Arabidopsis thaliana: one gene and its partner. The protein of the gene in region 1 interacts with the protein of each later gene in a pairwise test. Each region holds a gene or a part of one and is shown in the gene's direction. Other genes may lie near its edges.

Region 1 (6,021 bases):
GAGCCTATAATCACTACATTCTCGATAATCTCGCCTGCAATTAATTATTAAAAAACCAACACAGAGCTCGATTACTTACACTGCCAAAAACCTTAAGAAAGAAGCAAAGAGGAACTCCTCAAGTACCTCCTGAAGAAGAAGAAGACGGAGAATTGGCGGTGGCGGAGACTCTGAGGCGGAGGGAATCAGAAGAGCGAGTTCGGGTTGGTTGACGGAGGAGATAGGAGCCGCCGTGACGTGTGGTAGTAGTAGTAGTGAGAAAGAAGAGATGAGGAGGAGGAGAAAGAGCGGATGAGGCGGCGGAGACACGGTGAGGCGATGAGACGGAGGCAATACCGATGCCTATCTTGGGAGACGCAGCCATATTTTTTTTGATTGCCTTACCTTTACCAGAGACCATACAATTGTCTCTTTGGCTTTGCAGTTAAAAAAAAACATCCCGATTTTCTGTTGGCGACTGTGCCTCACGCGCCTCAGCATTATCTCTTTGCTTCCAAGTCCACAGGCTTAGATGATTTTCAGCCGTTGGATATATGTGATGAAGCGACTGAACGGTGGAGATGTGTTTTGACTGATTTTACTTCGTCTTTTCAACGGAGGGATAAGCCAATCGCTTTTTTTTTAAGTGGGAAAGATCGCCAAGAGTTTAAGTGGACGGACGACGCTTTTTATATTGGGCCATAAATGGGCCTGTTTTGGTACTGAATATTTAGTCACGACGAAGATTCTTAAACCCACCGGAAAATGGGCTAATCTGTGTGCGGATTGCTTCGCCAAAAAGTTAGTACTAATAATTTATAAAGCATAACTAGCTAAATGCGAAGACTATATAGTTTACTTAGTTCTGAAGAGGTTGAAGTGGAAATGAAATGAACTAGGAGTTGGTGAGGGAAGGTGACAGACTATTTTTTCTTAAGTCAAAAAGTTAAGCTGACCAAAAAAGAGCAGCCCAATGAAAGCAAGGATCTTTATCTTTAGTCTAGTGTCTGAATTCCATGCACTTCCAATGTTTTAGTCAACAAAATGTACTTACATTTGATGACTTGATGTTGTATAGATTCGTTAGGAAGCCACATCACTAAACGTTAAGCATAACTTTATGGTTAAAAAAAAACCCCCCCACCGTGTTCTTACTTGTCATCCAAATTCGATCTGCCATTTGAAGTTTCCTAAGCTGTTCTTGATGACTATTCTTAAATTCGATGTTTATATCTTACCATCTAAATTAAGCCTTACAAGAGCTACATATCCAAGTAGTATATGCTGGAGTAGTTTTGTGATCCCTTAATCTTATTGTTCAACAAATAATTTCAACAGGACATATATATGGATCACTACTGTTAAAACGATATAGTAGAGCTTAAGCGTTAGGATTTGTATTATTAGTTGTCTCTCTCTTTTACAGACGCGTGGAAGGTACGCGCCGTCATAGGAACATTGTCGGTAATCCCCTTCAAACACCAGTAGTCAGTAGATCGATGACTTGAATTACATCACTGTCCCCTACTTTGACCAATAGAGATCTAAAGGTTTCCTTTCTTGCATTATTGTGCTAAAACCGACATTTACTTAAGTTACTTGATTATGTCTTGGAAAAAAAAAAAGATTTTAACTTTGGGAACTTTTATTCAACTGAAATTTTAAAGAATTATTTAATTTGGAATTCCTTCTATAAATTTACTGGCTTTTACCGTTATACGTTACCATAAACTTATATATATGATCAAATTCGACCGTGATGAATGATCACTTTTTTAACTTTCCATTCAGATCAACTGAACCCCCTTACTTTTTCTATATATACTCTTTTAAGCACTTGTTTATATATTATCAACAAATTAAGGTGTCGAAAGTAACATACAATTAGACAAAGCATGTATAGTCAAAAAGATAGATAGTCATCAATTTTGAAAAACGAGCAATTTACATGATCCTACAAAACAACAAAACTAACTATATGAAATATCAAGTTTATAATCATTTTTAAAAATACCATTACAAAAGATTTGTACTTTGAATATAATTTAACATGAAATTTAGAAAACGATCTGTTTAAGAATATAACTTCTGCTATGTGGTATTTTAACTGGTACTTTATAGAGAAAAAAAGATTGGTAATTAATGTGATATTTTTGCAATCCATATTATATATTCGAGAGATTTTACTAATGATAGTACTTGATTAATCATTAGAGAAAACTAAATCTTACAAATATAGGTAGACATGATGAATAATATGCATGATTTGCGTTTCGTAAATTGATAGTACCACCTCACCTAAAGGGGGTCCAAACGAGTTGCTTCATATCACAATATCCAATTTTACCAACATACATTAATATATGTGTATTCACATATATACCTCGTGATTAATATTTTTTTTAAAATCATTTTTCGTTTGTTTCCTATACGTCTAATCAAACACACACGTTACAACTAAAATTATATTGACAATATAGCTCGGTTGGTAAAAGCAACGACTACTGCAGTTTCCCTGAAAAACTTAAGACCAGTACTAAATATCAACTATACAAATTAAGTTGATATCAGTTTTTTTGGGGGTAAAGTAATCCAATATCATTCTAAAATTAAAAGCAAAATGTCGTTAGTTATACATGTTAGAGACGAGCGTTGTGTTTGAGAAAAAAAAGAGTTATGTCGTATAGTGGATTCGACGTAAATATTATCGATGGTTGGTTTCAAACCTGAAAAATTACATGTCATATTGTCATCAAACATCGATTTTCATTTGATATAAGAAAAATATATTTACAAACACAATCGTGTGTGTGTGTATGCATCATGATTATATGCATGTTAGTGTTAGAGTTACATATTCTATAGAATATGTAAATAGTTAGAAGCGTACGTTCCTTGAAAATTGTTCAAAGTATTTCTATTATTGTTTTCTTTTGTTAAAGTATTTCTATTATTGTCTCAACCACCTAATTAAATTAAATAACGTCTCTATCTCTTTCTATGGAGTCGTGTTACGTCTTTCTAGTTTGAGATCTTCTACTACTTGTTTTCTTCAAGAATAATAATTTTCGTTTTATATATGGAAGATGCTGGTGAACATTTACGGTGTAACGATAACGTTAACGACGAGGAGCGTTTGCCATTGGAGTTTATGATCGGAAACTCAACATCCACGGCGGAGCTACAGCCGCCTCCACCGTTCTTGGTAAAGACATACAAAGTGGTGGAGGATCCGACGACGGACGGGGTTATATCTTGGAACGAATACGGAACTGGTTTCGTCGTGTGGCAGCCGGCAGAATTCGCTAGAGATCTGTTACCAACACTTTTCAAGCATTGCAACTTCTCTAGCTTCGTTCGCCAGCTCAATACTTACGTACGTATATATGCTTCACTGTTTCAATCAGTATTTTAAACTATTTGTGTTTCTTTGAGTTTACTAAGTGTATTTGCTTAATTAAAGGCATTAATGAGTGTTGTTACAAAAATATTATAGGGTTTTCGAAAAGTAACGACGATAAGATGGGAATTTAGTAATGAGATGTTTCGAAAGGGGCAAAGAGAGCTTATGAGCAATATCCGAAGAAGGAAGAGCCAACATTGGTCACACAACAAGTCTAATCACCAGGTTGTACCAACAACAACGATGGTGAATCAAGAAGGTCATCAACGGATTGGGATTGATCATCACCATGAGGATCAACAGTCTTCCGCCACTTCATCCTCTTTCGTATACACTGCATTACTCGACGAAAACAAATGCTTGAAGAATGAAAACGAGTTATTAAGCTGCGAACTTGGGAAAACCAAGAAGAAATGCAAGCAGCTTATGGAGTTGGTGGAGAGATACAGAGGAGAAGACGAAGATGCAACTGATGAAAGTGATGATGAAGAAGATGAAGGGCTTAAGTTGTTCGGAGTAAAACTTGAATGAAACTAGATTGCTAGATTGATATTCGTAATATACCAGTTTCTTCATATTCTTAGAAGTTTTGCATAACTATATATAGTACTCTTTTAAGACATGCAAGATCAGAACATATGTCCGAGAAATATCGGATTCTTTGCTGTATTGGTTAAGTCTCGTGTTCATAACATGGTACATCGTGTGTATATATATAGCCATTAACTAAGAGAACGTTTTCTCATGTATTTGCGAAATTTAAAACTATTTTGGGTAGATGAGATGAGTTACATCTCACTTTGGGCTGTGGTCAGGATGATTTTGGTTATGTAAGCCGCGTTAATAATGGTATCACTAGCTGCAAAATGGTTGAATTTTGGTAAATCTCAACTCTCAACTTTCAACTCTCAAAGCAGGCCTAGAACTAGAAGTAAAAGATTGGCATTCTCTTATTTCGAATTTAGGCCAGAACATACGGCACATTAGGGTTTTTTCCAGATTTTTAGTTGATGGAAGATAAAATATGAGGCATCATGTATATAGACATTAAGACCACAGGTTTCTCATGTATATGTCATATTTACAACTATGTTGAGTACGCAGATGAGATTATAATAAGTGATCAGATCTCTCTTTGGGCTATGGTCACAAAGGGTTTTTGTTGTACAAGCCGCAATAATGGTTTCACTGGCTATGAGTTAGCTGCAAAATGATTGAATATGGTCTCAAGTGTGGATTGACTTATACTGTATTCAGCTATTCCCAGCCGATTCCTGCCATAGAATGAAGCAAATTTCTTTCCTCAGACTTACAAAGACTGATGTTGTGTGGATCATGGAGAAGAAACAGTTAAAAGAAGAATGTCTTACCGGTTTCTTTCAAGATGTCCAAAGGCATCCGCAAGTGACAATCCTCCTTCTCCAAATGGCAACTGCAACCCAAGAGAGACAAATATGGAGCACTAGTCCAAGAGTAATCTTAGAGCCAATAGATTTTGTGTTTAATAATTTACCTGGTACTTGATACTCAGTCCATTGCAGCTTTTGAATGTTGCACCGGGAAACGAAGATTGTATGAAAGAATCCAATGCTGAGAACTTTTCTTTGGTTAGCCACCACTCGGCAAATATTGGAAGTGGAATACCACCTGTTCAGCATCAAACGGATAAAACATATATTTATGCTACAAGTCGTGAAATAAGGCAAATCTAAAAAAGTATGTGACATGTGTGCTCCTACCATCTCGAAACAGCTGCTCTGATAACTGGTCATCGAATCGCACATCTTCCTCAGGCAATGGAGGTACCAGAGTACTCACTCTCTGCTCATTACCAAGAAACTTGGCAATCCTCTGTACCATTTCTGGTGACAAACTGATTTCTGATGCTGAAGCCGTATCAGGAGTAATCGAGTCAGAGACACCTATACAAACTTCGAGATCACCCAGTAAACTTCTAGGCTGCGTAGGAACGTTAAACAGCCACTGCTGAATTATTTGGCAAAAGTTCTCCAATTCCACATTGCTGACTTCATTGGGTTTGACCTAATTGGTAAGACAGCCAACATTACGCACAAGCTTTGAGAAATGATCCTTCCTACCATTGAAACAAAACACCATTGTAAAAAGGTACCTCTAACTCTAGGTGGTTTCCGTAGCGTGTCTTTAAGTGTTGTGGACTACCTATGCATCTTAGGCGGCCTCCTACCTGTAGTTTGAGGAGTATGGTTCTGTGAGGTGGAAAGATTTAAGGAACTAACGCCCTAAGGAGTTCAAAATGAGTTAAGAAAATACCATGATCCCGATCCTAGTGCAAAGTGCTTGAGCTTCATTCATGCTATGAGTAGTCAGAATGACCGCTGTCTTTCCACTCCTTGTCGACAAGCGGGATATCACATCCCACATGAATCTTTTGGCAACAGGATCCATACCTGAAGCATTAAAAACAAAAACACAAAAAACTTTACCCAGTAGCTAAGAACTAGTGTAGAACAGAGATGAAGTCTTCGTTAGTGATTTTAAAGTCAAACTGGTCAGGCAAGTCAACCAAAATCTTGATTGGGTTATACCTGTAGATGGTTCATCGAGGATGACAATAGGAGGATCTCCAATCATTGCAATAGCAACGGATAGTTTGCGCT
Region 2 (4,668 bases), on another chromosome or scaffold:
GGCATTTGCAAATATGCCTTTTTCATCTTTGTTTATATATATATTAGGTTTACAAGAAAAGAAAGAAGAAAAGGTATGGCATTTGGAGGTTGAGCATTTGACATGAAAGTTGAAGTAATGGAATCTGAGTAGGATAGTTAGGAAATTGATGTGTCAGATTGGGACCACCTTGTCTTTTTGTTCGTAGACGACATCATGTGTCATGTGCATGTGGAAAGGATTTGTTCCGTTTTTTTTTTTTTTTTTCCTAGAACATAATTAAGGACTATCATTATAAAGTTAAATCGTTCTCTAATTCTTCTTTTTATATCCTAACTAATACTTCATTGAATACATCATTGAACTCTTACCATTAAAAAAATAGTGATGCTTACGTAAATTTCTAAAGTAAAACCGAGAAACAGAAGAAGCCAAACCACTGTTATAAATGGGTTGATGTCTATCACCACAATTGAGATTCTTTATTAATTAGCTATTGCTATACGATTAATATTTAAACTTCAACGAAGGTGCTACGTATAAGATTATTTTAATATAATGAAAAAGATGCGACGTAAGCCGAAATATTTGATATACATTAATATCATCTCGATTCACTAGTACCATCATTCATATCATAATATACTTAACTACGGTTTTGATTGATAATCACTTTACAAAACGGTACAAAACGTTATAAAATATATAATTTTAACAATTACCAATCACAAAAACGTTGCTAAAAATTTTACTCTTAGTTTTTTTTTATAATTTTCTCGTATAGTTTTTTTTACAGCTTTGCATTGTTTCGAAAAAGCTAACAGCTAACAGATTTTAGTTACCATCGGACCCTATAAATTTATTCGTGAAATATCATAAAATTATTTACACCTTTTAAGTTTTTATTGTTTAATCATTTTTCTTTCGGTTTCTTTTTGTTAAATTAAAATAGATAAGTAATGAAAATCAAAAGAAAACCAAAGAAAAGAAAAAACCCAAAGAAAGTTATGTGAGAATATGGGATATTGGAATTGTGAAAATATATATATATATTTTTTTGTAAACTATATTTCTGACGTAAAAGCTAACAGAGAACATAAAAAGCACATGAATATATATGTAAAGAAAACAAGGCGTAATCGTTAAGGCAATAAGCCACAAATGGAGTAACAAATTTAAAGGTTTATGTGAATGTGACCAAATTGCTTCTAAAAGATAACCAACGATAATGATACTAAAATCTGTTACGTCAAAATGTTTTTTTTTCTTTTCATATATGTTTCTCTTTTTAGGTGGTTTGGTAAAAGGAAGAGAAAAAGAAACGATTACGATCATCTTTTATTCCTCACCGTCTCTCTCAATCTCTCATGCAAGCAAATACTGCAAGCCAGAGTAGCACAGACTGTGACACGAACGCCACTATCCCAACGTCACCTTCTCCTGCTCTTTCTCTTGTATTTCACTTTAGTCTCTTCTCTCAACTGTCGTCACCTAGATATTTTTAGATTCTTATTTCTTCACCCAAAACTCTTTTGATTGATCCTCTGAGTAACATTTAACTTTATAAATGTGTTCAAGGGTTTATATTCCACGATCATATATAAAATTATGTTACAAAGTTTCATTACATTAACTAACAGAACTCTATCCAAACATTAATCTTCTCCTTTTACTCAATTTCAACTAACTAACAGTTCATGCATTGAATTTTCAATTGTACTGTATGAATAAAATAGCTTAATAGCACATTAAATTTGACTGATTAAGTTTTCCAACATCAACAGCTGAATAAAAAAAAATATATCCTCAATGCAGACTCATAATTTATTATATAGATTAAAATATGTGGATACAGATAAGCATAACAGAAAATTTGACACCGAAAGTTGTAATGAAAAAAACAATTGTAAATAAATAAATACTTTTGCAAAAATAATAATAAAAATAGTTAAAATAAATAAAATAAAAAGCCACTTACACCAATGAAAAACCAAACCATCACCACCTTTAAGTTGTCTTTATAAAGACGCATGACTCTAACTTCTAGTCCTCCCTCTTCTTCTCCTCTCTTTCTCTACTCCAAGTTTTCACAATGACATTCTTCATCGAAGACACTAGTCTCATCATCAGCCACGTTCTCTACAAAACGGCACTTATCATCACCGTTTTACGATGGATCTTTGCATGGATCCTCCGTTACCGCTCAAGATCCTCCTCATCATCATCATCTCAATCCTCCTCTTCTCCTTCTATTTCATCACAAACCATCAAAGAAAGCCTAGCCGTGTCCGCTTTCCGCGACGCGGTGGAGAGATCTCCCGCGGCGATAAACGACATGTGTGCCGTGTGTCTAGGAGATCTTGAAGACGAGGACGAAATCAGAGAGCTTAGGAACTGTACTCACGTGTTTCATCGTGATTGTATTGACCGATGGCTAGATTATGAATGTTGCGGCGGTGATGATGATAACCACCGTACTTGTCCCCTATGTCGAACGCCGTTGCTTCCATCTTTCACTGATTACTCAACCGTTACTCAAACTAGTTGGGCTGTTGAACGACTTCTTTACCTCTTCGGCGACGATCTTCTTCCCTGACTTTTATTTTTCTTTTAGAAAACATTTGATTTCATATTTTTTTTATGAATATTGTAATTGGTAGAGGGGTCGAATAGGAAATATAAGAGTGATTGATCGCAATTATACGAAATCGAATCAATTTGATTTGATTGTATATACAAATGTTAAACTGTATTAATTCTCCTCTTCAGATAAATGTCTAACATTTTTTATTATTATTTCAACATTTTTCATTTATTTATCCTTTCTTAGTTGTCACATTCCGTTTTATTGTTTTCTACTTATCTCTATAGTATTTTTTTAAGTATAATTTTTACGGATGGGTTAAACTATTTTCGGATACATATGATACCCAATTTAATAAAAATATTATTCATAAAAGTTTGGGTGGATCGGATTATATTTGACCCGACTCTTCTATTGTTTTTTTTATCTAAAGTTGGATACAAATATTACCAAAATTAGATCATATCTACTAATTATGTTTCTATATTAAATAATACATATAGTTAGAATATTTGGTAATAATTTAAATCTATGATTCTCTTTTCATCTTTATTTAATTTTTTTTAATTTTTTTGGATAATCGTATAATACATAAAGTAAACAATTTTTTTTCATATATTTTGATTCAAATTTTGAAAACGAACATATATTATCCAATTATTGAAAAAGTATATGTTTAACATCACACATTAGCTAAAATATTTAGAAAATAATTCATAATCACACTGTAAATAAAATCAAAATGAATCCAAATCCGAATGACTAGGGACCTTAACTCAACAAGCATCCAAATTTAAAAATTTCAATATGTGCTAATTCTGTTTTTAGTAAAAATGTTTCATTTCACTGGAAATATAATAATTAATATATTCAAAAGCAATAAAAAATTTATAATATTATAAACATCTGAACATATAAAAAAAACCGAGACAGATGAAATTGCGGAACTAGTTTTTATGGTGGCATGGAAGGACAGAGTTTGAATCAACATTAATAAAAAATTTAAAATATCATTAATTCGCCGCTTCAATACGAGGCAGAATAAAATCAATATTTTTTAAATTATTAAATTTGAACATATTAATAGAAAATAGCACAAAACGGATTATATTGCAAGGATGGACTATATAGCGGGATGAGTTGAATTAACATTAATAAATTTTTAAAATATTATTAATTCATCGCTTCAATATGGATTAAACCCTCATTTTATTATTTTTAACACCACTATTATTAAATATATCGAATCAGCTTGATTTAAATAAAATTATATAGACAAAAATAATCTCGTAGTATACCTTTGCTTAATAATAATTGTAAACTATAAAAATATGAATGTCCTACAAAATTATACTATTTACAAATTTTTATATATAATACATAATCATTAAATATTTAAAATCACTACTTAAAATCTAGTTTTCAGTATAAAATTCAAAATCATTGCAAAGACATATTTCATACAACCATATTTGTGTTAAGATCAAATCATGCAGAAAAAAAAAAATTCATATCCAAAAGCCAAATCAAACTAAATTTTTTATTAGATATTTTTAAGAGAAATTATTTACAGGTAGAGAAAAGATTATCTTTTATTTTGTCGGTTATTCAGAAAAAAGCATTATTGGATAAAACCTGATATATCAAAATTTTTACTGTTTTTACCCATGATAAATGTATTCGTTTTAGAATATTTTTTATTGTCATTACAGGTATTTATATGATTGAGATGCGTTTGAAAATAAAGAGACATTTTGGAGTAAAACCAAGAGAATTAAACTAAAGAGAAGAATTTAGAGTCAGACCATGTTACCAGTGTCGATCGATACCATTTGCGGTCGAACAAAAAGTCTCTAGAATTTAATGTTTTGAAGACTACAAAAAATACCCATAAGTTATCTCTATTTGTAAGAAGCCACCTTTTTTTTTCTTTTTTCTCTTGTCATCAGTTTTTATTTAGAGCTCAAAAGAGCCAATGTTGAGGAAAATTGTTTACATAAGTGACATGAAGCGGTTCAGTACGAACTTTTCGTGCCAAATTGTCTGCTTTAACATTTACATTACGAGAAATTAAATATAAAGAGAAACTTGTAAATTCTTCCTTG

Evidence for each region. Proteins that work in one complex are often made in the same cells at the same time.
Region 2: the proteins of HSFB3 (region 1) and AT3G43430 interact in a two-hybrid assay, tested with the Arabidopsis thaliana proteins (one large-scale study listed by BioGRID).

Annotation. Positions count from the first base shown.
Region 1 is NC_003071.7:17,378,665-17,384,685, forward strand, and holds HSFB3 (heat shock transcription factor B3), read left to right. Parts: upstream 1-2,982; 5' UTR 2,983-3,058; coding exon 3,059-3,355; intron 3,356-3,475; coding exon 3,476-3,913; 3' UTR 3,914-4,187; downstream 4,188-6,021. Other genes in the region: NTRC (NADPH-dependent thioredoxin reductase C), read right to left, coding at 1-34, 127-364; ABCA1 (ATP-binding cassette A1), read right to left, coding at 4,575-4,656, 4,753-4,814, 4,896-5,029, 5,122-5,425, 5,514-5,588, 5,675-5,811, 5,950-6,021. UniProt on the Arabidopsis thaliana protein: Transcriptional regulator that specifically binds DNA sequence 5'-AGAAnnTTCT-3' known as heat shock promoter elements (HSE).
Region 2 is NC_003074.8:15,352,665-15,357,332, reverse strand, and holds AT3G43430 (RING/U-box superfamily protein), read left to right. Parts: upstream 1-1,838; 5' UTR 1,839-2,071; coding exon 2,072-2,575; 3' UTR 2,576-2,798; downstream 2,799-4,668.